Styela clava: one gene and its partners. The protein of the gene in region 3 interacts with the protein of the main gene of each other region in a biochemical or structural test. Links are inferred from orthologs where the notes say so. Each region holds a gene or a part of one and is shown on either strand. Other genes may lie near its edges. The genes, in order: denticleless protein homolog B-like, serine/threonine-protein kinase ATR-like, serine/threonine-protein kinase Chk1-like and DNA replication licensing factor mcm2-like.

Region 1 (8,182 bases), on a different chromosome or scaffold from region 3:
TGATATATTGAATCATCTGTACATGATGCATATAGGTTCGTATTTGATGAATCCAGTGTAAGACAAGTATATCCTCTTCTTCGTTGACTTAATCCGGGATATGGAATCATCTCTAAAGGAGCATCCCTTTTTATTCCCTTCGCTTGAAAAAATATCACTAATTATTCCAAGAACTCATTACTGGTAGTGTAAAAGGGCGCACACTAAGAGGGTAGTAGGATAATAATTACCCGTCGTCTTCTTCTTTGTTTGAATTTTTCTCAAATCCCAAATCTTCAGCATTCCATCCATTGCTCCTGATGTTATCACTGTGTTGCTGTCTTGAAATTTCGCTGACGAAACAGTCTGTCGAGAATCCTAATATTCAAACATAAGATGTCAACTAATAATGATTCAACTTTTAAGTCTTCGTGCAATTGCTGGTCGGGGAGGCCATTCTCTCTATGTAATTTTAAAGGTAGATAATGCTATATTACAACAAAAACAAACATCTTATGTACGGTATCTATGATTGTTTCTGGACAAAATAAACTAGATTTCATGAAAAATACTTGATTTCTATGAATAATTCTTGAAGTTGTGTTGCTTTAGTTTCACTTTGCATAGATTTATCAAAAGTGGTAAATTCAGCATTGTATGTGCTGGGTTTACGTTTGAAAAGAAGACATACTGCAGTAGTACTTATAAAGTTTTATAACTGTCGATAAATTTTCCAGAATAAAATAAAATTTGAATAAACATTTTCCTTTCATTTCGTCAAATTTAATCCAGTATGTAGTGGCCCTCTTTTGGTTTTTAATGTGAAAGTACATATATCATTCGCTCATCAGCAATGAATTTCAAAAAGTATTTTGCGAGTCGCGACAATAAAACTTACTATGGCCAATTGTCCAGTGTCTACCGCTAATGCTCTTCTTCGTTTTCTCATCGGTGTTAAAGAATCATTAATCACATGAGCATCCTGGATTCTAACAACAGGTTGTGATGAAGTTCGACGATCCCATATCAATGCATTCCCATCTCTTGATCCTGTTGCTAGGAGATCTGTTGAACAATACCATAAATAGAGTAAAGCAGAACTGTGGAGTCTGGAGTCGTAGTTTCAAACTTGAATGTCAAAATTCTGCATTTTATGATGTCAGAATTGCATATTTCCAAGGTGATAAAATAACAAATTCTACAGAACGCCAAAGTTTTCATTATCAAAATTGCACTTTCTCGGAGTTCAATGCTGGAGCCAAATCTTTCAAAACTATGAATCAGGAGTCTGAGCCAAAATTTTGTTCATCTGAAAGTTGATTGTAAATGTTCTCAGAATCCACAGCTTGTTTTCAAGATACAGAAATGCATAAATTGTAATCGGGATAAATAGGCTAAATTGCCATCAGGAAAGGCACAAATTGAACCTTGCATATATGTAAAATTTTCTCACATCGAAAAAAACATAGATGAAAAATACTTCTTTCAAAATGATCACATGATTGACATGAATAAATAGATAAAAGAAAAAAATGTGTTGGGGGGAACATTGTGCTTGAACAGGAATAGATTCAATGAGGATGTTTGATTGGATAACATACTTACTCAAATTGTGCTTAGACACATTCACAGATTTCAAACTACAACTGTGTCCCTTGAAAACAGTTATGACTTCTCCTTTTAGTGTGTCCCATAATGCAGCTGTTTGATCACCAGATGCAGTTGCTAGAGAATGTTCGTGAGGAATCCATGCAATATCAAATATAGCATTGTTGTGTGCCTCAAGTTTATGCAGTGGCCTCAATACTTTATCAGCATCATTTCCCAGTACTGGTTCATTAGCAATGAAAAGAGATACGATTCCATTTTCATCTGCCACTGCAAATGTATGCTCACTGCCGGAAGCTTAAAAATAATACTTATTGAAGTTAAGAAATCCATGCCATGTATTTGTTTTGGTAAATGAGTACAATCTTGATAATACCCCACCACTGATTTGAATGTTGATTCTGATTATTTCAAGCAAGCTTAGGATAATTTAAAGGCAAGGCAATAATCTAACCCAAGATTTAGCCTACATATTCATCCTGGGAAGGGTAAGCCGATAAGACGGCTTCATCATATGGAAAACCACGGGCTCTCGTCCAGATACCAGTCCACGTCGAGTATGGGATTAGCCAGTTATTTATTTTCCGAAGCATGGACTTGATGGTGAAGGAAGCTGTAACCGACCAGCGGTTACGTTGACCACCCTACAGCGGCGAGGAGTCCAGCAATCCACTCGCACATAACTATTTCTGCACGGGATTCGAACATGCGAACCCTCGCAAGGTAATCAGAGATGTGGTAGCAAGCGTATTGCTAACGCTTGGCACGATGCGCCACACCGCCAAGCCGAAATCAAATTAGAAAGGGAAAATACCAGAATAAAGACCTAAAATGTAATCAAATAAAATCAAAAACGAATCACTTAAAGAAAAGTTGTGGAACATACCTGTACAAAATTCAACTGTGTATGGGGGTACTTCCGGCTGAAACAAATAAAAATAATCTATTCTAAAACATGTAATATTTTTTGATATTGAAAAATTGTGTTTTGCATAAAAATCGCTGAAAGCGATGTTTGTTTTTTCCAAATACCAGATTAAACTAATTGTAATTAAATTCGTTACCTCAAGTTCCCCAGGAACGACATATTTCTGATTATTGGCACAAAATATGTCTTGCATGTGATGTTGATTGAAACTATTGACAAAATCTAAACAAGAATCGTAGAAATATATTAAAGCAGATGAAAAATTACAATAAGATGATATCTGCAATCTATATTATATTATAATGTAATTTTCAGATTTTGTAAAATAACGTAGTACAGCAGTACGGTATCAGGCGATATTCTGATATTTCATATCAGTATTACGTTCAAACAATTGGAAAAATCAATATCTTCTACCTTATCTTCGTCTCATGATACTGTCAGACTGTGACATACAGTCAGACAGTGTACTTGATATATTTAAATCCGAGCTGCAATGAGACCAAGAATATTTGCAGATTTATTAACATTGTGTCATCACATCACGGAAAGTTAAAAAAGGGATGGCATATGATATGAAGAAATACCTGACCTTTTTCGTTATAGTTGACGCATTTTCGATATCTCGTATTTGACATTCCAATCTGACGAATAAATGTTAATTTTCCCACGTTAAACGCCATGACAGCATAACATGCAAATTCCACTTAATACAGAAGATGAAATATAAGATAGAGCTACAGATGCGGTACCGGTAGCGTGGTTTAAACGCGATGCTGTGACAGCAAAATGCAAACAACTGAACACAGAAGTAACCGGTAGTAAAAAGTAACAGAAGTACCGTGATGGTGGCAATTATGTAGGCTACTACACAGAAGTAACCGACGGTAAATCACCAAGAGAAAAAAAATCGGCGTCGGCGCCTTCCGTCTTTGCAGCGTTTGGATTTCCCGCTGTTCACGCGAATTGTCGGGTCATGGGTCATACTAATTACTGAGAAGGACAGTATGGAAACAACAGAACCAACTTGAGAGAGTGCGCGATATATTGTTTCGTCAACTAGAAAACAAGCATTGTAACAACAACAATAAAAATATACAACATACACAAAGTTATTCGGTACAAACTATATATATGTATATGTTGCGTATTATAAATTTACGGTTCATGAAACATGTCGCACAACTGTGTCTTACACCAGTAAGGTCTTGAACACGTATCACGGTATAACAGCAGTTTAGGATTTCTGCGTAATAGTTGGGCAACAGACATGAAATTGATGAAACATACAAATGAATCTTTAGTACAATACACAAAACAGAGAGGTGCAGATGTACCAGTATCCGTTTGTGTTGAATTCGTAGTCATTTTCCGGGTTGTTTAGGTTTGGCATAACTATATACACACACCAATTGTGTCAAATTTAAATGCGGTTTTTACGATAATGTAAGATATAGAGTGTCCCGATTGAAATATGTCCGTGATTTCCATTTTATTTTTTCATACGACGCTTACTCGCATGCTTTGCTCCGAACAAGGCCCTGTGGAAGCAGTTACATATATCGATATGTAAGGAGCTACTGCTATTTGTAAGAGCTAGAATCGTCCCGGTTCGAAAATGCTTATCTAATTTATTGCACTCCATGCAATGCGATACCAACATCAATAAAATTAGAGCCTACTTCACCTATGCAATAATATATATGCTTAATTTGCATATGTTTTTGCGAAAACTATAATGATGTCAGTTCTCATAAATTTTAATATGTTAGATATACGCTGACGTTTCATATTTTACTGACATTAGAGGCATAGTGGTATTTTCACATTCCGTAAACTGAGACGAAAAAGGCTAAATTGTAATAGTCCCAACTAATTCAAACTTTATCCCGATATCAAGTCTTGTTCTTTTCTACCTAGATCCAGTAATCGGATGAAACGTCACACTCCTGGCATAAACGTAGACATTTTATTTTCACCTATCTTTACTTTTTCTTCAGTGTTATTTTATGACAATTAAAAAATGCTGCAAACAATCTGATAAAAAACAGTATCAGATAAAAAAAAAATGGACATGCTTTTGAAAAAGAATTAGTGCATTGAGCAATTTCAACGAATATTGATATTTCCTCTTGTTTTTTATCCTGCGAACATTATGCCCACCACTGAGCCTTCCTATCGCCTCGTATGGGTAGGCCTATATTGCGCCCGCAACTAAGCGTTGGTGATGAATCGTCTGTCGATCTTTTAGGAAAAACGATACCCGAAAAAATCTCCTTTCGCGCATTTATCGGATTAATCGAATTTAATTTTTCAGTACTTAAAATGGAGAAGTCGCCAATAGCCTATTACTATTAAATACAGTTTCAAATTTTATCTTACTGTGTTTCTCTGAAATATTTCTTTCGAAAAATAACACTAGGGCTTTATTTGAGGGGATGCTTTTTATTTTAATTTATTAAAAACAAAATTACGAAGTAGAAAATTACGAGGTTTTCTAATATACAAAATTTGAAAATTGATTGCCATTTACCTACAAATAACACGTTTTAATTCAGAATAAATGCTGAACATAGATTATTAATCATTCAAAACGTGTATGATAGATTTCTTGCTATGGACTAGGACTCAGCGTTTCTCCAAACTGTGTTACGCAGCGTCTTCCGAGTGTTCCGTGGAAAATGAATCAAAAATACATCTGAAGTGGTCGACATGACGATCTCGGGATCGCGTGAAGTTGTCGCCATACTGACGACCGTTTAATATCGAGTCACCGTCGGACTAACTTCTTGAGGGTAGTGGTATTTTCGTTAACCGTCGGCCTAGCTTTTTGACAAGTTCATTATTGAGTTTACAGCAATCTTTTTGGTTTTGCAATAGGCAAACATCGCTAAACTCGATCCAGCAGATAAATAAACTGCATCTTGCTAAATTGCAGCAAATATCTCTATCTCCATTGTTACGTAACATTAGAGGCAAACATTACGTAATGGAAAGGTAAAATGAATTCATTGATTCATATACACAGCATTTAAATAAGAAACAATAAAACATTTATAATAAATGCAATATGTAAAAATTCAATCATATATAGTAGGTATGTTAATTAAGTTTTCGGCATTCTATTGGTAAGTGATTGAATATTTTAAATCAAATAGTTGCTTTCAGCTTGTAATCAACTTTTAATTATTGCAACTAAACTGAATGTCTTCGGAAGGCATGATTCCAAATAAGACATTTGATTTACAACTATTTTTCGGAAACACAACTGAAAACTGAGAAATACCAACACGCAAAACACAAAACGAGGCAATGTTTACAACCATTCTTTAATATCTGTTTGAGCCAAAGAAGTGTCTGAGTGGCCGCATAAATTCCAATTGTTACTTCAATGTTGCCGTATTGCTGATTGGTCATTGTTACGGCAATAAACAAGGAATTCGATGTTCAGGGAAACATCCATTCATTTACGGGCAAGATTAAGAAATAAATCTATGGGGTCAAAGTTCGGGGGAACAGTGACCAAATGAGAATTTGCTTTTTATCGGCGTTGCAAATACGCAAGGTAATCACAAAAAGTTTCTCAATTATCTTGGCAAACTTTTAAATTCAAAGATTATGGCTTCCATGAAACAAATTTGCATATTTGGAGGAATGCATGGCAATGAGATGTCCGGTGTTCATTTGGTGAGAAAATGGGAGAAAAATCCAGAATCAGTTACCAGATCAACCTTCCAAACAAAAATGTTAATTGCTAATCCAATTGCTGTGAAATTGGTTAGACGGTATAAGGATGTGGATTTAAACAGGCAAATGTCTCCTGAAAATTTTAAAGTTGAAATAAATGAAAACACACCCTATGAAGTTAGAAGAGCAAAAGAACTGAAAGGAATGTTGAGTGAAGGTGGAGAAATTGGCGAATGTGAATTTATACTTGATTTACACAATACAACAGCAAATAATAAAGTTAGTCTCCTTCACATGGAATCGAATGACTTTAATATGCATTTAATGCATTATGTATCAACACATTTACCAGAGGGAATGTGTTATATTATGTCCCTTGCTGGCAATGTGAGTTATGATTCTGGTAGAGGATTAGGAAAATATGGGGGAGTTGGTATAGAAGTTGGTCCCCAGCCACAAGGTGTGTTGCGAGCTGACATAATGTCTTTGCAAGAGTCATCAGTTCACTTTGCTCTTGACTTCATTGAAAACTATAACAATGGTGAGGAATTTCCAGAAGTCAATTTTTCAGCATACGAAGCTGTTACAAAAATACCGTACCCACAAGATGTGGAAGGTCATCTTACTGCAATGATTCATCCAAGTCTTCAAGATCAAGATTGGAAATTGTTGACGTTGAACGATCCTGTATTTTTGTCTTTTGATGGCAATGTTCTTTATCTCAAAGACGTAATAGAGGATTCGAGTAGCGGTCCATTTTACCCAGCGTTTATTAATGAGGCAGCATATTATGAAAAAGGCATTGCATTTTATTTGACCACTCAGTATAATGTATGTGCTAAAAAGCTATCGAAAAAATCATTTGAATTTCAGTGAATATTTTTTGATTGCCAGTTATCTATTCAAGATTAATATGTATGTATTCAAGAGCAGGGAATTATTTTTTTATTATAAAATTGCAGTTTCTATGAATTAAAATGCATTATGCTATCTGTTTGTCTGAATATGTTAATATCTGTTTCGTTTTTGTCCAGTTATTTTGCATAAAATATTGCCAAAACCATTGCATCTTTAGCATGGTGTGTTTAATTACCTATTAACAATTGAGTATATTTGAGTAAGTTAGGAAAATTGGAACAATTCTTTCTGCACATTAATATTGAATTCCTATCTTTCCTTATTAACGAAATGGTACAATAAACCAAAGTATTTGCTATTTAAGTATGACCTTACAAATATTACATTTTAGCAATCATCGATCATATGTGCCAAAGTGTTTTAATTTACTTTTAATCAATATTTTTCTCCCTAATAACCCTTCATAAAATAAACTGACAATTTAAAATTATGTCCTACCTTTTTATTAACTAGTTCAAATTTTGCAATAATTCGGTACTTCAATTGTGCAATATGATTCGAATTATATATTATTATCAGCATGTATCATCAATCATATATATTCATATGATTATCATATAAACATATATGATTCAAATTATTGATAATAAAACGAGGTGTTCATTGTTACAATCTCAATGTTTTCCAGTATTTAGAAATTAATTCGATCAATAAAAATGGATATTACCAGGCATAATTTCAAGGAAACGTATGAAATTGTTGAAAAAGCAGTTTCAGAAGCAAATTTTGTTGCCGTGGATGGTGAATTTTCTGGAGTTACTAATTCAACGTTCAATTTGACTAATTATGATTCACCTGAAGAAAGATATCACAAGTTAAAGCATAATGTCGCTGATTTTTTACTTATGCAGTTTGGTAAGTGTACTGTAGCTATCTATTATTTCCCACTTTTGAATACATATTTCGGCGCTCCCGAAGTATTGTACCAAGATGACGCACAACCTGAAAACCCCTAACCTGGTACACATACTATGTTCAGGTTGTGTGTCATTTTGGTATGAATACTTCTGGAACACCCATATTTCTGTATTTATGATTTCTGTATATCCACGCAAAGTTACT
Region 2 (7,848 bases), on a different chromosome or scaffold from region 3:
GGTATATAGGAATAAGATACACTATGGCAGTCAATGCGGCAAAGATAATTCCAACGGCAATAAGTATATGGGCCGTTCCGACAAGGTACACCTCCGCCGGTATTCCAACCAATGAAAAAGATGACATGTATGTGACACACATCGACAGTCCCACAATGATCTAACATGGAGCATAAAAATATAATTATTCGGCATTGGATTTCTATACGTTGAAAAGTGTTTATGTTGGGTTAGCACGAATTAACTGCACATTTTTCATTTCACCTGTACTTGTAGGCCCTATTATAAATAATATACTATTAATACAGTTGGCTAACGGGTTATCGCGAATGCATCGGTTTGACTTTCACAAAATTTGGACTGCACATTTTCCATTTTACCTGTACTTGTATTATATATATATAATACTATCAATACAGTTGCCTAACAATAAATTCAAAGTTATTAAGATCATATCGGAAACGAGTTTCTTTCATTTTGAGGGATGCACGGTGTCACCTATTGACTAAAATGAATGAGTGATTCGCTAGATGAAAAGACATGATTTAAAATGAGTAAGACTGCGTGGCAGTTGGAGTTCAAACTTCATTATCAATACAATTCATTTGGTAGAAAAATATAAATGCATCGAGTATTACTGAAGAATAAAAGAGAATAATGATCATACAGGATTCGATTTTTTTCCAGCAAAGTAGTAGTTGGCAGTTGTGTTGTTTTTTCTATCTCTGAACGCGAAGAAAACGCCAATGAAAGTGGATAGAGCAAGAAAAACTGAAAAACAAAAATATTATTAGTGTGTACGATTCCCTGCTGCCAAAAGGAAATTTCTAGTCTTTTTTCTTGCAAAAATGTTATGAAAAAACATGGGTAATATCTGTTTGGCGTAAATTCATCAAAAGTTTGAAACTCACAAATTATTCATTGCTGAAGAAACTTGTTTTGCCGTTAAAGAGGCATTTCGACCAAAAGTGCAATATTTTGGTTTGAAAATTACATAATTATTAGCAATTCAAATAATGTTTTTTATAAGTAATTTCATGAAAAAATACATGCTAAGGTTATTCATGAATTCCTCCACATGGACTAATATGGTTGTGTCTAATAGTAAAGTTACTCACTTGCAAAAACTGTAAAATCCACCGCACCAAACCATTTCTTCGCATTATCAGTTGAATCCATAATGTTACGTGTTATTCGTCCAAGCTTTGATTTAAAAAATTATATATCTGTCGCCCTATAGAAATATATATATATATATGAAAGCACGTCTCATAAAACGTAATAAAATGCTGGCGGAAGAACCTCTTGATTGGCACGATGAACGTCTGTCTGCTGCACAGTTTTGTTTGGGTTATCCTCATCAATCACCTAAAGCTAGACACATCGAAGGTGATGAGTGCACTACAATAAACATGCGCAGGCAGTAACAGAGAGTTGCAATAAAATGTTGGTCCTTACAGATAATAAATGCGCGAGGTAGGCTACATCAGTACCGTACTGTACGTGCTGTCGAATTGGGATACTCAACATTATTTTAATGACAATATCTCAATATATATATGCTTCATCACAAAATCCACATCAGATAAATATCTAAAAGATACCATCATTATATGTACATATGTATATAATTATGATTTTTGCGTAATATATTGCTCTGGAATAGATTCTACTACGAGTCATCTAAAATAATCACAATTGCAAAAATTTAATCCGTCGTATTGACGACATAATCAGATATTTAATACTTCAATTACCAAAGTTTAATTTGGCAGCAACTTCTCTATCTTCGTATGTGATTAAATTTCTAATATATATATACATCAACCAGAGATCTACAATAATCTAAACTAAGGATAATGGCCCACTCTTTTCCTCATCAAGCATTCGTTTATTGAAATGTGTTCTCGAATGAAGGATAAACAGTACTCCCATTTGCGGCACTGATTCCATTCTAATATTGGGGACAAGTGGTAATTAAATGCCATCATTAATCAAACGAAACTAGTTAACTACACTATGAAGGAATCGGGATTTCTTTCTTTTGAATTTCTTGTTGAGCAAGACAGCGGACGTCCGGACTAAAGGCAATAGTTAATGCTAATTGCTATTATATCCCATATTTTTCACTTTAAAACCCATGTATTTCGACGATTTGCAACTGGTTTTGTTCATAAACTTATTCCAACTCAGATGTTGTGAGCAGTGAAGTCATCTGTCACGTAAGTTTATGCATTGATTCACAGATGCGCAAGTTACGGTAACTCTTTAAAACTGCGTTTTCATTGATTATAATTTGTGTTTGTCGTCGAAGCACGTTCATGTCATATTTTTGTCATGTATTTCAATTGATATCTTGTCTAAGCTTAGTTACCGTCAGAGAGCGACAAACGATTCGGCTTGCAAATTTTAGGGTATAAAAACATTTGCAACCAATACACAGTCAACTCTATCATGCGATCAATCTGCGACTAATATTCTGTGAAGGAAAGCTTATAATTGGATTGAGCCTGGAACTCATTGATTTTATTATTTGTTCACAATGCATGAAGTAGGTTGGTAAGCTCACCTTACGTGCCAATTAATTTAGCTTTCATTAATTCAAACTTTGAATATAAAAATAAAATCCTGGCAAATAGTCTAAAATTTTACATAATAAACCGCAGAATCAAATCACGAAGTTTATACTGAGGCGATGTTAATGAATAACATCTCTTATATATATATAGACTACCGTATTTGCCGTTAAACTTTTCATTTTTCTAATGTATTGCCTGGCAACGAACAGGCAGTCGGAACCTATATTTACAAATGTCTTGGAACTACGCCATACATTAATTATTTTTGTGAATTCTCACGGAAGCTCGTATTTACCGAGTTCATCGCTTAAAAATTCGTCTTTATTTTTACGAGTCCTCTCAAATAATCCCAAGTGCAAAAATTTAGTTCGTCGTAATGACGACATAATCAGGGAGCCCGTTTAATACTTCAAATATCAAAGTTTAATTTGGCAGCAACTTCTCTATATTCGTATGTGTTTAAATTTCCAATACATTACCTAGAGATATGCAGAAGATTTATTTTTAACGATATCACACCTATTAACTATAACGATATTAGTATTTGAAAATCTTAGGTTTCAAATTTTCGCACATTGTTCGTCATTTTTTATATTTACCCATTTTTTACATGTGTCTTTAAACAATACCAATGCGTAAAAGATGATGTTTGTTCGTAGCCCTATTACTAGTTTGCGAAATTAACTCGTCAGATTGTCGCAACACCGATTACTGCACCTTACACAATCAGCAACAGAAATGGAATGGATACTTTGTGTGTGAGACACGGTGTTTTCAAATTTGATATTTTTTGTTTACAGATTCGTTTGAATTATTAGATATCATTTTTCGAGTTCGGTATTCAGTTCTGCTATTTTAACGATCAATGGCGCGGTTGATGATTATCTAGTTTTATAGCACGAGATTCGATGAACCCTTTGACGAACAACCATCGTGTTTCGTATTGAAATCTGATTCTTTTGTTTACGGCATATTTCTTTAACTAAAATTTGTGTTGAATTCAAGAAAGTTATAAAAAAACATTCGACTTATAAACATTAAAAGTAAAACAAACAATAAAAAAATAACCAAAAAAGTTATATGAAATACTGCATAAGAACAAGAGAGCGATGCTAAAATATAAGGACACGAAAGCCAAAGTGAAGCCGACTTTAGCGTAGCATGAGGTAGGTCGCAGAACCCCCACAAATATTTTTTAATCACTTTGAAGAGGTCATCACATAAAATATCGAAGTGAAAAACGAATCACATAGATCCCACGGAATATTTGGAAATAATTAAAAATGATATCCTCCTAGCAAAAAGTAGAATCTTCAACCACTGAGAATTTCAAAGTAATTGGTTCAGTAGTTCAGGAGAAAAGTGATTTTTTTCCATGACAATAAGGAGATAAATACCAACAACAACAACATAATGACAAGACGATCCATGTTTACATTTCGTGTCCAATAACGAAAGCAGTCGGGTATGAAAGCTGAAGTTATCAATTATTCAAGTAAATAATTAAAGCAAGTCGCGTTGCGCTTACACGTTAGTTCTATTTATTTTCTTTTCAAGTTGAATATTAACCAACCAGTTAGGCACGGCTATATTTACGATGAATCGCAGTGGAGATTGGCTCACTCTTACACCTCCAGGCGGTCATTTCCTTATGTTTTGCAAGGAATCGTTCATGCGTAAATAGTGGCGGCATTGGGCTAAGTTTTTAATTAAAGGTGACAGTGAATTCTTAGTTTAGGATATGTATGTATGTTTATTCGTCTCGTAAAAGCAATATAAAAGAATTAGTAATTATAAATACTGAAGACGGGATGGATGCACAAGACCATACTGGCCTAAAACACGAATGTGCGGCATAGTCTACACCCCTTTTGATTATAATACAGTACCGGTAATACTGTAATAAGGTAAATCAAATAGACTATGTATAATATGGTCCTTTATACAGACAGAGACAGTTGTGCAAGGAGGGTGGGTGGGAGTGGTAACAGGGGTAAGGGTGGAGTATACAAAACTGTTTGTACAAAGGAGTTTGTATAACAAAACAACATCTACCGTATAACTGTATAAATAGAGACACAACACAACATGAAACACACTGCATGTAGGGTGGTGTAGCCAGTCTGCGGACGATTTCATTCAAACCGCTATAAAACAAAAACCAATATTTCTAACTCGTTAATTTTTTCACCGTAGGTGCATTGGCATTTATTCCACACGCTGAACTTCGAATTAACTTTCTACGACCAGGGGTTAAAGTTATACAAACCACCAAAGTATGACACTCTGAAGACGTTTTTGCGACCGAACGACCAGTGTGCGATCACGGATTTTAAGCCTTGAACATCGTTTCTGCTGCGTCGAGACTAGGGCATACGGTACGCAGCCATGCGTGAAAAAATGGGCTTCTAATTGCATTTCTGACCGTCATATATTTTAAGAACACGGGTATTTCGAACAAAATTCTTCAAATTATAAACAAAGCACCGCATCACAGCAATCAAACTGACAAAAACATGGTGGTCGCAAATTAGTTGACAAAGATATTATTGAAGTATTGGAAATGCGCACCCCCCTACTCCCCCTCCTTTGAATGTAGAAACGCGAAACTTTAAAGATGGTTAAAAGAAACACAACTCTACCCACCTGCCAAGTTTCATCTCTTTATCTCTTATATTTGTTTGGATTTTCAAGCTTTTTTGAAGGAACAATGGGTAGTTGGCGACATGGTAAAATGGTCCGTTTTTTTTTCTTCGGTCAGGTTTTCGGTCGTAACTTTTTTATTTGTGGCCGCATTTTAGTGTAATTTCGCAGAGCTACGAGGGATAAGTGGACGATAACGCGTGAGAAATATCGTCGCGGTTCGTTAATTTTTTCGGCATTAATTTAATCGATGAAGTTGATGGTCGCAGATAGGTCATGGCCGCAAAGTGGGTAAGTCACCCTAAATATAGTAATTAGTTACTATAAGTACAATACCATTGAGTGATGGTACCACATAGACTAATGCTAAGTTAAACATTTGCGACATATGAATGTATCGATGGGGCATTATATTAATTTGAATCTTGTTTTTCACTGATTTGCGGCGTATGATTACATCGATGCGGCATGATATTAAATTATTTTGCTAATTTTATTCTTGTTTTTCCGATCTATTTTTGTATAAATTACGCATTTTGCGACATATGAATCTCTCTTTGCGTCATTAGATTGTATTATTGCTTTATAAACTTATTCATCCAATGCTGCATCGAGGCATTAAATTTACTGTTTATTGATTGTAGGTGTACGAAAGAACATAAAATATGATATATGGTGTTATCAAAATGTAATTTTTATTATCTCTGATCCATTTATTATTGTTAACACGCCATCCTATTTACATTGAAAATGAGAGAAACACGCCAAGCCAAGGTTTGCGTCGAGGAACGGCCGATGCGTGCCTGCGTGCATCGATTGAAATTCAGTCATGGCACACGCCGCCGATCGTTTTTTGCTTATTTCTCTCAATCGCTTCGGTAAAATTTTTTCTCCTTTGGTGGATCTGATTATTTGTTTCCGAGGAATTCAATGGTGATGGTCTAAGCTTGGCGCTTATTTTTAGTTCAATACGCAACTTCGTTTTACTGTATCTTTACCGATATGGAGAGAATTAGCCGCCATACGTCTCTCGAGGAAGGGGCTTCGATTTCTATTTAAAATAGGATTCTCTGAAACGTGTTGATATTACGCGATACAAATACCGAAACATACGATACAGCGCGTAGCATTCTCTAGTCTTTTCAAGCAGACATGTCCGCACCCGACAAGAGTCTGAATGGAATAATATGGTGAAAGCAGAAAAGCCAATGAGACCCACCGTACTGACTCCCTGACCAGCAGACTCCAGTCTGTACAGTGTTATGGCAGTATGGTGCTGCATTTCAATATTCCAGTATTCTATTATGCCGTTATGGTATTGCCAAACTGCCAAATGATCTGTCTGTCTTGCATCATATTAATAATATTAAATTTTTGTCGGTAAATTATTTCAATACTGTAATAACTGAATCATATATAACTTTTGAACATGGGAACGTCTCTATTTTCAACATAATTAACGACTGAACGATTGGATATAAAGTGTGAAACTATTGAATCAGCAAATGGAACTGGGGAATACTGGAGTAGGCATTGATTATGGTAATGAGTTTAGTCTTGGGATTTTGACTTGATTTTGACATATCTCAATATCTTCGACAACTTTGGAGCTAGAAAGTTTGGAAGCGTATGAAATACTCGTCATTCATATTGTATAAACTCAAGATTCTTCATTCATTCATTAATTTGTTTATTTTCCATCTTGAATAATGGCTGCTATCGGAGAAATTCTGAGTAGCATTGTAGCAGATTATGAAAATATTTCAAGGTATGTACTAATGTTATATTTTCTCGAAAATTCAGAATTTGGTTAGGAGATATTCTCATGGATAGGTTAAATGTAGTGAATAATGGTTTGCTGGACAGCTACACTGCATTGGATTGTATGAAATATCTCAACATTATAACCAAATGCATAATTTTATCTATTTACAGTCTTGATAAATACTGATAGAGAAAAAGAATTAAAACCTTACCTGCCATGTAGTAGCGGCATCTTTTCAAATGATCTAGTCCTATTTTTTATTTGATTTTGATTTTTTTCAATATTCATCTATCAAATTCACAAAATGATGGCATGAAAAATTTGCTTGCTAATATCCATTCCATATCCTGATATTGATACAAAATTCGAATCTTGTCAAAATTAGATTTACCCATATCGGCCATATCAAAAATGCAATATTTAAACGCATTGCGAAGCCTTATCAAAGAAAACATCTCATTCGAAGTAGCCAATTGTGAAACATTCATTGTCCTTAATTAGGCTTTCTGAATTCAGGAAGTTTTTTTCTACTTTTCTTTGTACATATTTATTCATCGAATTATTGTCGTCCACAGTTTGCCTCCAGAACAACTTGTAACAAAATGTGTGAAGATTCGTGAAAGTTTGAAGATGATTATTCATCATCATTTGACAGATGTTAATTCAATTTTTAAAGAACTTGAAAAAGCAAAGGGAAAAACTTCCCAAGTAAATTATTAGTATGCTTGAATTATTATGTATACAGTCTAATACATGTCGTTGTCATATTCAGGGAACTTAAATAAATTTTAATGAAATACATCCGAAACGAATAGGCCCAACTGTTATTATCCTTATAGCCAACATGGACGGACAATAGGC
Region 3 (8,275 bases):
TGGAGTGTAATTTCTAATAGGCTATATCTGTACATATAAATAACGAGAATTGTAGAACATAAACAAACAAGCAGTGCGCAATATGTGGTAAATAATTTGATTACAAACGCACTCAACTAAACAACAAGGATAAAAGCACCATGAAAGAAAACAACAACAAACGAAGTAAAATATGACAAGTGCATTGCCCTGGCGTTACAACTTCAGTTTTAATCAAAATTTGCTTAGTGCAGTAGTGTAAGTAGTCTTTTTTATGCAATCTACCTTCAAATATTCGTTACAATTGACTGTTCATGTTTTTCCCAGCTTCGACCAGTTTTCCATGATAAACTCCACGCAGGCCAGCAATGCTGGCCCAGCATGATCTGATGCGAACTGATCCATATCGTATCAGTACTGTATCCGACAACATCGTTTTGATTTAAGTTTGTATGTATCTTCTCAGTAGGGTTTATATTCGTCTAATTTCCAAGTTTTCGTCCAAATATTTCCTACTCCAGTATTCCATCGTTGATATTTTACCCGACGGCGGTCTCAACAAGAACAAATAATAGCAGAACAAATAATAGCACGTGTAAATTTATGCATGGGGCGGAGGCATTTGGGTGCATAAATGAGTAGTATGCTTGTATGCCTAATCTAATAATTACTAAAATAAATATATTGGTTGAACGGCCAATCACAACATGGGAATTAATTCTAAATGGACTATATGACATGGAATATCAAAATTGAACAAATGATGTAAATATGAGTAATATGGTTTTCTGTTGTTGTTGTAGCCTATAATCTTTTGTTTTTCTGAATTTTCTATGCAAATGTTTTTTTTTTCTTGGAAAATGGGTACTAATCTGGATCAAATTCGAACAATAATTGGCAAAAATTGAAATAATAGGCTACATTTGGATAAATCAAAACTATCCTATTCACAAATCCGAATTAGAAAAAAAAAATTATTTATTCATTGTCATTCATTTTTCACTCTTCCAGTCTTCAATTCTGCAGTTTCTTCAACACAACTAACTGATTTGATGAAATGTTTTTGTTTCCTTGGCCGAAAAGTTTGTTAGTCGGATTGCGATTAGCTCAATCTGTCAATACGCAATAATAGTCATCTGGTAGTACTGGCAGACCGGTAACGAAGTTTGCTATTCAACTGGTTCATGCCGATGACTGACGGCTAACAATAGTCTGGAAGTAGACAGGATAGGATTTACATAGTTCTGTATTTATCCTTGGGGAGAGGAAAGTTGGTAAGGTGGACCACGACCTCTTGTTTACTCTTGTGGCATAGAGCAGTACGGCACACTATACAGATCGGTTGACATTGTCTCGATTCAGGAAAATCCATTTTACCAATGATCAGACACCCCTCCTTTGGGAGACGTCTGGACGTTGTTGTCCCTCAATATCGGTAAAAATACAGTATAATGATATTGCGCAAAATACTACAAAGAAGCATAATCTAATAACGTCATCATTGAATTCTTCGGGAAAAAATAATCTGATTTACCCAAGAAAAAAAAGCTTGACTTAAGCTTGATAGAATTCTGGAATTGCTGAATTGTGACACACCTGCACACAGCAATGGAAATACAAACAATACAGTGATGAAGGCGGATACATGGAGATAAACTCTATTAACCTGGACATTCAAACATTCTTTGTTTTCAAAATCAAATTAATAAATGATGCACCATGCTTCAGCCTCATTTCATACGAAATATTGGTGTAATCTAAGAATCACATCAACACATATTGACATAGTGATTGATAAGGCAATACTGTTGTAATGCTTCATTTGCCAACCTACATTCTCAGAGTCAGTGGCTTTTCTCCTCTAAAGTCTGTATAGAAAATTCAATTGGTATGCATGGCATGTGAGTTTAACTTACATACCACACTAATCAAAAAAATTTAATCACCATTTTTTACAGATACAATTAGGTCTATATTAAGCAAACAATGCCTCTTCTTCAGGCTGGAATGTGTCCGTTACTGACTGAAAGTATAGTTGCAAAACTAGCTTCTAATGGAGTAAAAAGAGTATTGGATTTTATTTGTACGGAACCAAGTAAAATTACATCTCAGTGTGAGGTTCAATATAAAACTGTTTTATCGATACGACGTGTATTGCTTGCTGAATATTCATCATTTCCCTTGAATGGTTTGAATCTATATGAAGAATCAATTGCTACCCTTTCAATTCTTTCAACAAATTGTACAGAGTTGGATGATCTTTTATCATCTGGTATATTTACTGGAGAAGTGACTGAAATCTGCGGTTCATCTGCAGCTGGAAAAACACAATTATGCACGGGGCTTGCAATCAATATAGCTGCCTCGTTAAAGCAAAATGTGATATATATTGACTGCAGCTCTGGTTTTTCCCCAGAAAGGGCTGCTCAAATGATTAAAACAAATTTTGGTGAGACGTTATCACATATTAGAGTATGTAAATGCACATCAACTTATCATCTCCTTGACATATTATCAATGATTCGTGGAAATTTAAACTCACATGATACTGGCTTCACCTTAAGCTTGAAAGCAATTATCATTGATTCCTTATCAGCTGTTTTACTCTCTGATTTGAAAAATTTATCATATGTTGAAGGACAATCTCTGGCAACATCAATAAAAAAAGAAATTAATGCCATAGCGAAAGATTTTACTCTAGCTGTTGTAGTTACTACAAACACATATTTTAATATTGATTCTGACTCTTCTCCAAATGCTGGATTTGGTCATTCGTGGAATTCTGCTGTAGCGACGCGAATATATTTATCCAAATCTAATGTTTTGAAAAATGTAAATGATAATTCAATAGAACATGGAATTATACCTATTAAAGTTACTGTGTTCAAATCTCACCATGCAAAAATAGGTGCTAGTATTAACTTACAGTTAACTGAAAAAGGTTTTTGTCCACTATAGCAGGGCTGCATATGAAAATGTCCGCTATTTGAAATAAATTTAGCTGTAAAGGTTTCTGTCCCCTGTGGTAGTGTTGTATATTCAAATGTTTCATATTTAAAATGTTTTGTGTTGAAATTGTGTTATAATCTTTTTTTCATATTGTTTATATCTAAATTATTTTGGCGTAATGTTTAGTAAATGCATTGTCTCAACTTGTTTTTATTATGACCTTCACATACACATCATCTTCTGCGAAGTATTGAATTTTCTACTCCTCGATTATCAAGAAATGTTTTGCTTTCGTGTGACTGTTTTGTTCTGCTCATTAAGAGCCTTGTTAGAAGTAGCATGGATACTATTATAGCTTGAGGTTTACCGCTGCATTTTTCATTCCAAATATGTAACAATTATTCGGAACACTTTCTATGACTAATTTAGTGATGTATGACATGGATCTGATTCTAATCTTAACATGGTAGGTAGACCTCAGATATAGATTAGGTGACATATGACACTTGGCAGTGGACTTCATGCTATAGTAGCACCAATTCATGTTCCCAAAACAATCATATTAAATTGATTGATAAATTGACCGACTTTTATCTGAAAGACATATCTTTAAGTTGGTTCACCTCTCTAGAGACTTGGGGGGGTTATAATTTCTCTATTGCCTATTTTTGTAACTAATTGATTATTTTGTTCTTTGGTAGAATAGAAAACATAAAATGTCTTTTTTGGAGCAATGCGAGGAACAGTTTGGGTCAAAAGACTTGTATAATGTGTTGAATGTATCAAAGGATGCATCAGAAAAACAAATCAAAGCGGCTTATCGTAAAATGTCTTTGAAGGTTCATCCTGATAGGGTAACTGAAGAAGAGAAAGCACTTGCTACTGAAAAATTCCAAATTTTAGGAAAAGTCTATAGCGTACTTTCTGATGAAGAACGTCGGAAAGTTTATGATGAAAGTGGATGTGTAGATAATGAAATTGACAGCGACATTTTTAATTGGAAACAATTTTGGTCGTCAAGATTTGGAAATTTAAACGATGCCATTAAAGAGTTTACTGATGAATACTGGGGCTCGGAAAAGGAAAAAGATGACTTAAAAAAAGCTTATGAGGAATATAAAGGTGATATGAATAAAATAATACAAAATATGTATTGTAGAGCTTTAGATCATGAACAACGATATAGAGAACTGATTGAAGAATGGATCAAAGCTAAGGAATTGCCAAACTATGATAAATTCTCTAAAGAAACCAAAGCAAAACGTTTAGCACGAAAACGTAAATACGAGAAAGAAGCAAAGCATGCAGAAAAAAATGCGAAAGTTTTTGAAAAAGAAATGGGAGATTCCATATCTGACATAGCAAGTATCATTGCCCAAAGAAATGAGGATCGGATGAAGAAACAAGAAGCATTTCTAGACCAAATAGCTGCTAAATATGTGAAACCGAAAAAAGCAAACAGCAAAAAGAAAAAACCTGGCACCAGTAAAAAGAAATCCCCATGAAAATGGTTCATTCCAAAAGTCCCAAGTTCAAAATACTTAATAAAATGTTGAGCTGAATTAACAGTACAAAAATGATCCTATACTGTTTTCAGTAATTGAGAGCAAATTTCTACAGTTTATCAGTTCTACTGTACTATTGCTATAACTTACATACACTTGCATATTTATCTACGTATATTCATGCTTCACAGTGCATGCGTAACAGTGCTGCAGAGGAATTGAAACACTTTTCCTAGTATCATAAATTTATTTTGTCGTTATTAAGACCTAATAATAATACTCGTATTTGTTAATTTTCGTTATTTGAATTCTTCTTTTTGTTCTTTCATTTTTGCAGTAATTTCACTATCTAATCCATGAGATTTTTCAAGCTATTATTGTGTTTAAAAAAATAAGATGACTGCTGCAGCAGTGCCATTTGTAGATGGATGGGATTTCGTTCAAACACTCGGAGAAGGTGCGTATGGTGAGGTTAAACTCGCTATTAACTCAGGAAATGATGAAGCAGTTGCTGTCAAGATAATTGACCTAAAGAAAGCACAAGATGCAGCAGCAATGGATCTGGTAAGATTTTGATAGTAAGAGATTCTCGTGTAATTTTCTTCTAAATAAATATTCAGTTGACCCAAGAGGGTTCGTGCTGTTGCCATAGTCCGATTGGCTCATCATCATAGTATTTCTTTCATCAGGGCATTTCTTACACTCCTAATCGCTCCACATAGGATTTGATTATACTATTAATCTAAAAGGGTGAATACAATTGGAATAACAAGCAAATTTCTACCTTGTAGCACAATGTGTTAACCATCAGTAATTACGGTATGTTATTTAGCATACTGTAAAATTTTGTATCGTGAATTCATCAGATTCGTAAAGAAGTTGGAATACACAAAATGTTGGATCATAAACACATTGTGAAATGTTACGGTACAAGAAAAGAGACAACACATCAATATATATTTCTGGCATATGCAAGTGGTGGAGAATTATTTGATAAGATTGAACCAGATATTGGAATGCCTCCTTCACACGCGCAATCATATTTTAGGCAATTAATTTCAGGTATAAAATCATTTCTTTGAAAAATTATCTTTTCAACTAGTAATTAACATAATTAGTATTTATGTTAATCTTCCAGGTGTTGAATACCTGCATTCTCTTGGAGTGACACACCGTGATATCAAACCAGAAAATTTACTTCTCGATGGAAATAACATTCTTAAGATTGTTGATTTTGGTTTAGCAACAATATTCAGACACAAAGGTAATTTGAAATATATTGCATTAGCTATAGACAGCATTGTGGAATTGGTAGTGTTTTGGTCAAACAAGAACGGAATGAGAGTTCAAATAGCTTGGAATCTGGGGTGGTCTGCGTCAATAGTAAATAGTTCATAGACTCCTCTAAGCCTTGGTGGAACTTAGATACCCTCTGCACATGTTCCAAGAGCTGTTTTGAAATAGCAATGGCTCGTTTCTTCCATTCTTCGAGTTTGGCTCCCCGGTTCTCCCTGTTGTACCAACAATTAAGCTATGTGCTGTTAATGAATTTACAACAGAAAGCAATTGTGATGTACCATGGGATTGTGGTTCTCCCCCAGTAGTTGCCGTTATTCTGACTCGACTATTAATAATAGATAATATTTTAATCATGCTTCTTTTAGGCATGGGCCATATACATATTTTGTCAGAGCAAAATTATTTAAATAAATACCCTAAATTAAATTGTTTATAACTACTCACTCACAGGTAGAGAAAGATTAATCAATAGATGTTGTGGAACACCACCTTATGTCGCACCAGAAGTATTAGTACAAGAACCTTATCATGCCGAACCTGCAGATGTGTGGTCATGTGCAATAGTATTGGTCGCCATGTTAGCAGGTATGTAGGAGAAATATCTATATCAATGAATAGAATAAAAGATAAAGTGAGGTTGATATGTCAAATGTATATGGTGCATTTATTTGCCATAGAAGTTAACATTAGTACCAGATCACCTATATACGTCTTGTCATTTCCCAGCACATTTCATGTGATATGTCCTTGTTAGACATTCCGGGTTAGGATAGCATTTTCTAAATCATAGGCAAACTACAGCGTCTCATCCAGTTGCGTATGAGAATAGCATTGATAATCTTTAAATATACAATCTGAGTGATTCTAAATTACAAGCATCCAAGTACATCGTAGGATAATTTTTGCTGTTTGTTTTTTACATATTCTTGACAACTAAATTTTGGATTGGGAAATGTTTTCTTCAGGTGAACTGCCATGGGATGAACCAAGTGATGGATGCCAAGAATATTGTGATTGGTTAGACAGAAAAGTCCAATTATCACCTTGGAATAAAATTGATACAATACCTCTGGCCCTATTGAGGAGAGTATTGGTCGAATCTCCTGAAAAACGTGCAACTATTGCAACTGTGAAAAAGGACAGGTATGATTAAAATTTTCTTTTATAATTATCAAGAATAGCACGAAAATTTTTCTTAATTTGAGTATCAGTCAACTATATATAGTATTTACTGACTGTAAAAGTGATGATTCAGCACTTGTCCTTGCTTTACAATGGTTCGTGGAAGCTACATTAAAACTGAACTTCTCAATGTCGTCATTTTAAAGAAAATCGCCTAAACTAAACTGGTACACACATCTCCTATGTACTCCCAACAATTCATATCATTCATTTCACCATAATAATTCCCACTATTTGCTTGTTGATTTATATCTATGAAGCATAGGTGGCTGAAACCGAATTTTCCCTTATTTTGAATACTTTTGAAACAGTATTTTTAAATTTGGAATTTAGTTGGTCGAAATAGAGGTTTGCACTAATTAATTTAACATTATATTCAAAAAAATTAGATGTACATCATATTACTTATTGAGAATAGTAAATTATTTGGTACCCACTATGATTAATATGTGTGAAAGCTACATAACATATTCGAACAGATGGTTTGTGAAACCTCTACCATTCAAAAGAAGATCGTCATCATCATTTGACAATTCACCACTCGCAAAACGACTGCTGACTGAATCAGGATCAATCATTATTGCAGTGCAAGATAGGGATGCAGTAAGAACAAATATTTATGTGTACAAGTTAACATCACATGATTGCCTGCATTTGCAAAAGTACATTTTGCACTGCAAGTTCAAGATGTCAATCATTCACTAAAAGTTAAGGTTAATTGAAGTAGTGTGTAACTTTCTACTTCTTCCTCCTATCTGCCTTGTGTTAGTGATTAGTATGCTTCAAGGATATATTAGCAGGAATTAAAATGAGTATATCAAATGGTTCAAAGGGATTGATTCACAAATTTATTGCAATGCTGCATTTATTTCTAATTTACTTGTGCAAGAAAGAACAAAGCCCCGCCCCCGTACATCAAACTCCTGAAGAATAATCACATGTACATCTAGCTCTGAGGTCAACTCAGGGTTTACCAATCAAAATTCAGCGAAAACCTATTTATGGTATATTTGTCAACATCAACAGTATTGATTACTGAATATTTTTTTATTTTATTAGCTTTCTGTCACACAACCTGAACCTCAACTTAACAGCAGTTGCAATGAAATATCTACAGTATCAGTAGACAATTTACTAACTCATGCTTGCTTGTCACAGGTAAAATTCATTTTCTGTTAATTTCTTCAAGATTATATTTTTGTTGTTCGTCTGCATTCACAAATCGGGCTATAGCATGTGTTTGTAATGCACAAAATTTGGGGGCAAATCCCACTGCAAGCTCATGTCAAATATTTCTGTCCAAACAGGACATTCTTCTTGTTTAAAAATGAATCTGAGGCAGTAATACTATGAAAATTTCA
Region 4 (8,634 bases), on a different chromosome or scaffold from region 3:
ATCTGAATGCCCGCACGTATGTAAATTTCCATCGCCTCAAAATGCTCTCATTATTTATCGCAAAAAACTCTCTTTTGCAACACTCAATCGCGCGCGCTAGATTTCATGAATTAGAATAACGGAAATCTTATTAGTTCAACTAGAATGATCTGTTTTGTTCCATATTGATCTTTAATCTTACTTATCTTATGAACGCAAGGTAAAGGTGGTAATGATGTGATAACTGAACCGACATTCATACCAGACTCATCACTTTGCTTGATATTAGTACTATAACGCATAAGCACAACGCTAAATTTCGCTATGAAGTTGTGATCTGAGGTATTTGTCAAACCGAAGCAAAAACCAGTGGCAGACTTTTGCAACAGTCTCTCATCATATATAGGAAAATTTCAACAAACAATATACAAATGTGAAATGATACAAATAAATATATATTAAAAAAAAGCTTTAAAAAGAGTGTGATTTGGGGTAATTAGCCCAAGGATGAACGTATGACCCAATTTGGAAGTGTTGTCTGGACAGAAATTGGTTGTCATGTCAACCGATAATCGAAGATATTTTATTTTTTTCTGGTGCTTTCACCTTTACACCGAAGATTTTAAACAATTGGGACAAAGTCTGACGATTCTCGAGAATCGATTCTAGCGTAAATATATACTACTGCGGATTCTAGTACTGGTAATAGTATCACCCTAATATCAATAAAGTTATGCCTTAAAGTCTTTTGGCGAATTTTATTCATAACTAGGCCCTGTACGACCAGCAATTGATATGCAAAAAACTACTCTTTATTAAATACTGAAAAAAAAATAAAACAGTTTTTTTCAACCTTTCAACCTTATTCCTTTTTATCGGGCCTCGTATCACTTCGCTTTCGATTTTTTTTTTATTCAGAGGTTTACAAGGGGAGAAAACGCTTTCTTTCTTCACAAATTTAGCGAGCTTCATCCTTCGTGAAAAATAAAATACACATTTTTGTGAGCTATACCATCATACGTCCTCCGCATAAAGCGATAATTTGCAACCGTTCATATAATCCGTTGGTGCTTAAACTAAATTGATTTTTTTTGCCAAGAGCACGTTCCTGACAATATAATAATTATATATACATGTTGGGCAATGTTACAATCACCGGTTTGCCATAGTATAATGTCTCATTTGTATTCAATAAAGTCGACACGAGGGCTTATATTCTAACCACAACACAATATTGATTTTATTCATATTATTGAACTTGATAAATTTAATAATGTAAAACAAGATATGTACGTATAAACCCGTTTGTATGTAGTGCAATTACCGGTCAAAGGGACTTCAAATGTTCAGTGCATAAAGATGTAATGATAGTCGCTAAATGCATGGTCCCGTTATTTTACCCAGAGTTGTGCTGTTTTAATGGGCATGAAATCTCCAAATGGTTCTGATATTTCATGTATTGGCCTATGAGAGTAGCGGAGGCCAACGTATTTCCAATTCTTAATAAAATATACCAATCCAAATGCCCATTGTGGGCTATATTTTATGAATTAGAACAACGGAAATCTTAATAGTTCAAACAGAAAGATCTTTTTTGTCCCCTATTGTTCTTTTGTCATACTTATTTTCTAAGCGCAAGGTAAATGGGCTAATGCTGTGGTAACTGAACCGCCGTTGACGCCAGACTCAACAACACTTTGCTCCACGTAGCGCTAAGTTTTTATTATTGATATTACGCTATAAAACACAATCACGATGGTAAATTTCGCATTGAAAGTGTGATTTGACGTATTTGTCAAACCGAAGGAAAAACTAATTGCAGACTTGTAACAATATACAAATTGCTAATGGACAATGTGAAATGATACAAATGAATAAATAGAAAAAAAAAATCTGAACAAAAATGTGATTTGTCGTTATTAGTTTAAGAAATGGATGTGTGACTCCTTTTAGCAGTGTTGTTGGACAGAAATTGCTTGTCTTGTTAAATGATAATCAAAGATATTTTATCTTTCATCCATTTATTGGGACACCTCTAAACATTCCCGACCATCTATTTTGGTGGGATTACTCCACGAACGGCGTATGATATGGTACTAGTGCCACCCTAATATCATTACATATTTGCCTTAATTATTGAATACCGAAAATAAAATAAAACAGTCCTTTTTTCAAAGTTACTTTTTTGCTATCGGGCCTTATACCCTTTGTGTTTCGATTTTTGTGTTCAGGGGTTTACATGGGGAAAAACGCCTTCACTCCTCACAACTTCAGCAATCTTTGTCTTTCTGATAAGAAAAATGCCAAATTTTGTGACCTATACCGTCATCCGTATGACGCGATTATTTTCAGATTCTCTTGTGGTTCATACCTGAATTGGATTTCTTGTCAATAGCGCGTTCCTGGCAATAAAATAATTATACATGTATGGCAAAGTTATTACAAATCATCGGTTTGCCGTAATATATTGTCTCATTTGTATTCATTAAAGTCGACTTGGAGGGCTTATATTCTAACCACAAAGTGATATTGAAATTTAATAATGTAAAACTTGATATTTATGTATGTGAAAACCTGTTTTGAACATTTTAGATATAACGTCTTATCGAGTCTGCTGTGAGATAAACTTTAATAGATCGTTTTGGTAAGTTCTATGGTAAGTTGATGGTGATGTGAAAAATTGCAATTAATGGGCAAATGGACTTCAATTGTTCAGCACATAAAGATGAAACGATAGTCGCTAAATGGCAATTCATTTTAATATTTTTTATTATATTCGATTCTCCGGGGCCTGTTATTTGATCCAACGATTTGCTGATTTTTGGACACGAAGTCTTCATATGGTTCTTATATTTCGTGTATTGGGCTTTGGGAGGTGCGAAAGTCAACGTATTTCTATTTCTCGATAAAATAAGCCATTCCAAAGGACCATTGTGTATGTGTCTTGTATTTATCTGAATCGGATTATTTATTTTTCCCGCGTTTATAAACATTGGATGTTGACGAAAGGAACATTTGACTCCGTTGACGAAAAGGGCATTTCGTGAATCGCTGCTCGAATACCTACTGTGTGAAGAAAGTTGACGTAGGATAGAATAGGATTTTCATATTCATTACAGGAGTGAAGAAAGCCGATCATATGTTTGCTAACGGACTCCGATAACGAAAGGGACATTTCGTGTATGGTTGCTCGAGGACATACTGTTTGATTAAATTTTCGTGGGATAGGATAGGATTTTCATATTCATTACAGTAGTGAAAAAAGCCGATCATATGTTTGCTAACGGACTCCGATAACGAAAGGGACATTTCGTGTATGGTTGCTCGAGGACATACTGTTTGATTAGATTTTCGTGGGATAGGATAGGATTTTGATACTTATCACAGGGAAATGAACCCGCACACAGGGTAATATCAGATGTGGTGGCGAGCGTATTCCGGACGCTAAGCACGATGCGCCACACCCACGAGCCGCGCTCACTTGTTCACATACATTTTTAATGCGTTTCTGTTTTTCGGTTGGTATAACAATAAATTATATTTATCTTCTTCATCGTGATTCCTATTTTTATCGATAATTAGCTGTTTAAGTTTTCAATGAATTGCACGAACGATTGCGGGTGTAAACAAATGCAAAAATTGAAACTGATCACCAAGCACGGACACCCTGAAAAATCTATCAAGACCAATACAAAAAACAAAAACAGAGAAGAACACAATTAAAACAAACGTTGCTTTTTTTTGTTTTGGCAGAGTTTGCACTCATTGTTGGGGCAGATTTTCAGCAAGTGCCCACAAAAAATTACATCGAACGCAAAATATCTTTCTTTCTTCATCTACCCTTATAATTAAACTACATTATGTTTTTTTTATCGTTAACTTTGTTGATCACTTTAACGTGAATGCTCTATATTCCAGTAGGAGAGAAAGATTTTATTACCACAAACATTGTCAACAGTGTGGACTCAACACTATGATACATTTGAAGTAATTGAAAAAATATATATAACTTTACAATAATTGGTTGATACCTATTTGTGAGGATCAGTATGCCAGACCAGTTAGGTCGCCGAGGCCTCTGGTCCATGCTGTATATAAACAAGGGAGCTGTGCTCAAATATGTGAACACGTCACATGGTGTCGCTATTTTTTATTCTGACACATAAAAAACGAATCTCTTGAAGTCCACAGAAATTTTTGAAATAAGTAAAAGTAATAGCCTTCTGGCAAAAAATCAAACTTTAACAACTGAAAATTTCAAAGCAATTGGTCCAGTATTTAAAGAGAAAGCGATTTCGTCATGACGAAAGAGAAGAATAATACTAACAAGAGAGCTGTGCTCAAATATATGTACACGTCACAAAGTGTCGCTATTTTTTATTCTGACAAATAAAAAACGATTCTCTTGAAGTCCACAGAAATTTTTAAAATAAGTAAAAGTAATAGCCTTCTGGCAAAAAAATAAATCTTTAACCACTGAAAATTTCAAAGCAATTGGTCCAGTATTCGAAGAGGAAAGCGATTTCATCATGACGAAAGAGAAGTATAATACTAACAAGAACAACAACATTAGTGATGAAATATCGATAAAATAGAAATAAATATTTTCAAGTTAATAATGCAAGTCGTGATGTTAATAGGTCACGTGGAGTTTCTGAGTCCGGCCAGGTCCATAGAATCAGAACAATTATCAAGGGCTTAGATTAGTTTTTATAAATATTTATAATAGTTTTTGTAATTAAATAATTATTGGACCGGGTCAGGCTTTAATACACAGAGAAAAAATAAGGAGGCAATCGGATTATCACAGATACAACAATAATGATAGATAGGAAGTACTATTAACAATGGCTTTTTGGTGGAAAACAATAATAAAGTACATTGTAGTAGTTTGTGTCAGAAGAAAGAAAACATTTGAGTAGCCTATACTTTTACAAAAATTGAAAGTGGCTCGTGACCTTTAATATACAGTTTTATTACGGAATGGTTAAATTTATAGTATTATAATACAGTGAATACAGTGTTCGGAACATCTACTTTAAAGAATATTAAACTTAATATTTTTATCAAGATAATCATTATTCAAGATATTAAGACAAATTTGAGTATTCAAGGAGGGAGAACTTTTTTCAGTTTCTTATCGAAAACATGCACATAACTTTTTTGGAACCCTTTACGGGTCGGGAGCCAAGAGCCTCTATTTGTTTTGCAGAATGACCCACATAAATTGATGTGGTCCAAAAATGTGGATTTTATACATACTACTGTATACACTTACTTGATAATGTCAGTAATAATGTTATTCATGTAATAAAACCTCTCCCCGGTCATGGATATGGGCGGGTTTTAGGAGAACCGTTGCGAATGTAAATATTTTTTGCCGCAACAAGTCACGTGTCTCTCAGTGGCGGGAATCAGCTGTTGTTAGAAGTCATGCCGCGAGCCTTTGCTGTACTTTTCGTTTGTGGTGCTCGTTCGTGTATTTGTCTGTCGTTTTCATTCAATAATTTCTGAATGTGTTGTTTTTAGTATAATTTATTTTTAATATAGCCTAGCCTAATTTGTGAAGTTATTTTCACTATGGCTGATGACAGCATGAACGGAATACCATCCGACCCAAGAACCCCTATCAGCGACCCGGTCAGTCCAAGCAGCAGGGGAGCGCCTTTTGCATCAAGTCCAGGAGGTGCAGAAGATCTTCCACCATTTCAAGATGAGAGTGAAGCTGATGCTTTATTGGTGAGTATTTTGAGTAAGAGTTTTCAGTTTGGAATTTACCTGTTGATTCTGTAAAAAGGCACCGAGCTAATTCAATTTTGCACGCCAAAAATTTGCAATTGCTCACCAATGAAAATCGGTTTAAATGGTTTTAAATCAATAATCCAGTACCGGTAATATAGAAAAGCCAACAAACTGTAGCTCTACAATTGTCGACTACATAACACTGAGCTTGCAAGATTCTGAGATTTGGCCTGATCGAAAAATGTTAGTGACGAAGTATAGAAATAATATTCGGAGTCAAAGGTCAAACGTCCATTCTGTTATGATTCAACATATTTTTTATTCAATAATTCTACGTAAAAACACTCCCAAAATTAACGGATTATTGACAAAGTATGTTCATTTTGCTCTGATATAACGTATTTTTTATCCAATAATTTTACGGGGATGTACTGAACAGTACCGGTATCAAGTTAATCACAGTATAATAAACTTATACTTAGGCTATATACTAAGTCGCACAAACACTCAAGATTAATGACAAGTATAGAAATAATGTTTATGGGTCAAAGGTCAAACGTCCATATTTGCTCTGATTCGACGTATTTTGTATCCCATAATTTTACGTGGATGTATTGAACAGTATCAAAATCAGTTGCACGCGGGCGCAGTTGTTTTGCACGAAGTAAGCTATAATTGCACGCCTGGAATTCTGATTTGCACGCCGGAATTTCTGATTGCACGCCCGATTTCTTATTCAAAACGGCCATGAAATCCAGACTTGGGTAGGGTGGTGTAGCCAGTCTGCGGACGATTTCATTCAAACCGCTATAAAACAAAAACCAATATTTCTAACCCGTAAAGGTGCATTGGCATTTATTCTACACGCTAAACCTCTAACTTTCTACGGCCAGGGGTTCTACGGTCATATATTTTAAGAACACGGTTATTTCGAACAAAACTCGTCAAATTATAAACAAAGCACCGCATCACAGCAATCAAACAGACAAAAACACGGTGGTCGCAAATTGGTCGACAAAGATATTATCGGCGTATTGGAAATGCGCTCCCCCTATTCCTACTCCTTTGAATGTAAAAACGCGAAACTTTAAAGATAGTTAAAATAAACACAACTCTACCCACCTGCCAAGTTTCATCTTTCTATCTCTTATATTTGTATGGTTTTTCAAGCTTTTTTGAAGGGACAATGACTAGTTGGCGACATGGAAAATGATCCCGTTTTTTTTCTTCGGTCGGGTTTTTGGTCGTAACTTTTTTGTTTGTGGCCGCATTTTAGTGTAATTTCGCAGAGCTACGAGGGATAAGTGGACGATAACGCGTGAGAAATATCGTCGCGATTCGTTAATTTTTTCGGCAATAATTTAATCGATGAAGTTGATGGTCGCAAATAGGTCATGGCCGCAAAGTGGGTAAGCCACCCTAGCTCTAGGTCAGTCTGTAGCTGCATAGAACAAAAATATTACTGGTCTATGAAATGGAATCTTCCGGTATATCATCACCCTGTACCTGAAAAACTAATTTAGTATTCAAAGCAGTAAAATCATTCCTCTAAATACAAAGCGATGAGAATGCATACTTCATAACTGTCATAATTTTTAAATGCCAAATAAACACAGAAACAGGAATCCCTATCAGTCTGAAATAAAAATGGGTCAGAATACGGTATGGCGCATTTATTCGATTCCAAGAATAGCCACATTAAAGGACATCAAACCCCTCATTTATGAGACAGTCTGGGCCCCGATATTGGCATAAATTGGCAAAGCAGCTTTGCACAATATACTAAAAGGAAGTGCAATCTAAAATCGTCACCTTTGGATTTCTTGGTTTAGTTTAAAATTTACTGTAAAATTTTCAGCAAAAAAATGCAATTTGGGTCATGTGACGACCCCGCGATTAATAGGCTTGCACGTAATTGACAAAAATCAATTCCGTAATTACGGCAAAATCAATTACGTAATGACCCCGTAATTGCGATATTTTTCCATGCATTTAAACCTATCATAACAACCAATTGAATCCTCTTCTTTTCCGAATGGAACATTGAAGTTGGGTTTTCATATTCTTGGCAGTACTACACGCCGTCGGCAGATGTTAAAGGCAAATATCAAGGAGTGAATTCAAATTAATTTTATTCTGATTTTTATCTTTTGTGTTAGCTTTGGTTTTCCTTTATCACCTTCGCAAATTAACCGTCCCATTTTTATGCGATCAATTTTATTTTATTATTACCGACACTGGTATACGGATATTTATGGAAACGATAGTTTTTTAAAACCACCTTAGTGCTGAATAAAAATTACGGGTTTCTAATTTATTAACTAACGACGAGCGTATTCTCTCGTTTGATTATACTTGCGATTTCCTCGCGACGAAGACTTGTTTTTGCAGCGTCTTCTGCATTATCCGATATTACTGCCTTGTTAGCATTTTATAATAATAAATATTGATGTCGACTTATTGACGATATTCCGATTACCATGTTTCATTTTACATTCAATCATTTCGCGGACTGAATGTTTATAACATTATTTGCGATAAATTTAAGATCAAATATTATTTATTTGAGTATAATTTAAATATGGAACTTATATGATATGCCTTCTCCGAAAACACAAAGTTATATCGCAAAACAATGCATTTTGTGACATTTATTTTACACTCACGACATTTATTTGCTAACTCAAGTCGTCGATCCTATCGGCCAAGATTGACACAAGTTTGGTCGAGTGCCGGTGGTATTCAAGTCGACGATAAATCAAATTAAGTTGCCGCATTTGGTAAGACAGTTAATCATATAGGGCCGAAATATTGAGAGGAATTGTGAAAAACATCATGAGCAAGGCCAAGTCCGGACTGATATATAACGATAAAACCGTTAACAGAACATCAAGATTTTGTAATAGAAAATGG

The links.
Region 1: of the proteins of serine/threonine-protein kinase Chk1-like (region 3) and denticleless protein homolog B-like, one has a biochemical effect on the other in vitro, tested with the Homo sapiens proteins (2 studies listed by BioGRID). The link is inferred for Styela clava from reciprocal best matches to the Homo sapiens genes CHEK1 and DTL.
Region 2: of the proteins of serine/threonine-protein kinase Chk1-like (region 3) and serine/threonine-protein kinase ATR-like, one has a biochemical effect on the other in vitro, tested with the Homo sapiens proteins (7 studies listed by BioGRID, with this or other methods). The link is inferred for Styela clava from reciprocal best matches to the Homo sapiens genes CHEK1 and ATR.
Region 4: the proteins of serine/threonine-protein kinase Chk1-like (region 3) and DNA replication licensing factor mcm2-like form a complex in vitro, tested with the Homo sapiens proteins (2 studies listed by BioGRID, with this or other methods). The link is inferred for Styela clava from reciprocal best matches to the Homo sapiens genes CHEK1 and MCM2.

What each region holds. Positions count from the first base shown.
Region 1 is NC_135253.1:12,719,332-12,727,513, reverse strand, and holds the start of denticleless protein homolog B-like, read right to left. Parts: upstream 3,382-8,182; 5' UTR 3,199-3,381; coding exon 3,108-3,198; intron 2,738-3,107; coding exon 2,652-2,737; intron 2,511-2,651; coding exon 2,474-2,510; intron 1,885-2,473; coding exon 1,585-1,884; intron 1,045-1,584; coding exon 878-1,044; intron 358-877; coding exon 231-357; intron 143-230; coding exon 1-142. Other genes in the region: aspartoacylase-like, read left to right, coding at 6,134-7,078; poly(A)-specific ribonuclease PARN-like, read left to right, coding at 7,777-7,975. UniProt on the Homo sapiens protein: Substrate-specific adapter of a DCX (DDB1-CUL4-X-box) E3 ubiquitin-protein ligase complex required for cell cycle control, DNA damage response and translesion DNA synthesis.
Region 2 is NC_135260.1:13,862,248-13,870,095, forward strand, and holds the start of serine/threonine-protein kinase ATR-like, read left to right. Parts: upstream 1-4,557; 5' UTR 4,558-6,931; coding exon 6,932-6,990; intron 6,991-7,562; coding exon 7,563-7,695; intron 7,696-7,765; exon of another isoform or gene 7,766-7,848. Other genes in the region: sodium-coupled monocarboxylate transporter 2-like, read right to left, coding at 1-160, 668-771, 1,119-1,179. UniProt on the Homo sapiens protein: Serine/threonine protein kinase which activates checkpoint signaling upon genotoxic stresses such as ionizing radiation (IR), ultraviolet light (UV), or DNA replication stalling, thereby acting as a DNA damage sensor.
Region 3 is NC_135256.1:8,813,863-8,822,137, forward strand, and holds the start of serine/threonine-protein kinase Chk1-like, read left to right. Parts: upstream 1-4,809; 5' UTR 4,810-4,829; coding exon 4,830-4,997; intron 4,998-5,299; coding exon 5,300-5,495; intron 5,496-5,571; coding exon 5,572-5,697; intron 5,698-6,182; coding exon 6,183-6,317; intron 6,318-6,697; coding exon 6,698-6,875; intron 6,876-7,393; coding exon 7,394-7,517; intron 7,518-7,973; coding exon 7,974-8,072; intron 8,073-8,275. Other genes in the region: DNA repair protein RAD51 homolog 4-like, read left to right, coding at 1,966-2,937; dnaJ homolog subfamily C member 9-like, read left to right, coding at 3,645-4,433. UniProt on the Homo sapiens protein: Serine/threonine-protein kinase which is required for checkpoint-mediated cell cycle arrest and activation of DNA repair in response to the presence of DNA damage or unreplicated DNA.
Region 4 is NC_135252.1:13,314,548-13,323,181, forward strand, and holds the start of DNA replication licensing factor mcm2-like, read left to right. Parts: upstream 1-5,459; 5' UTR 5,460-5,559; coding exon 5,560-5,718; intron 5,719-8,634. UniProt on the Homo sapiens protein: Acts as a component of the MCM2-7 complex (MCM complex) which is the replicative helicase essential for 'once per cell cycle' DNA replication initiation and elongation in eukaryotic cells.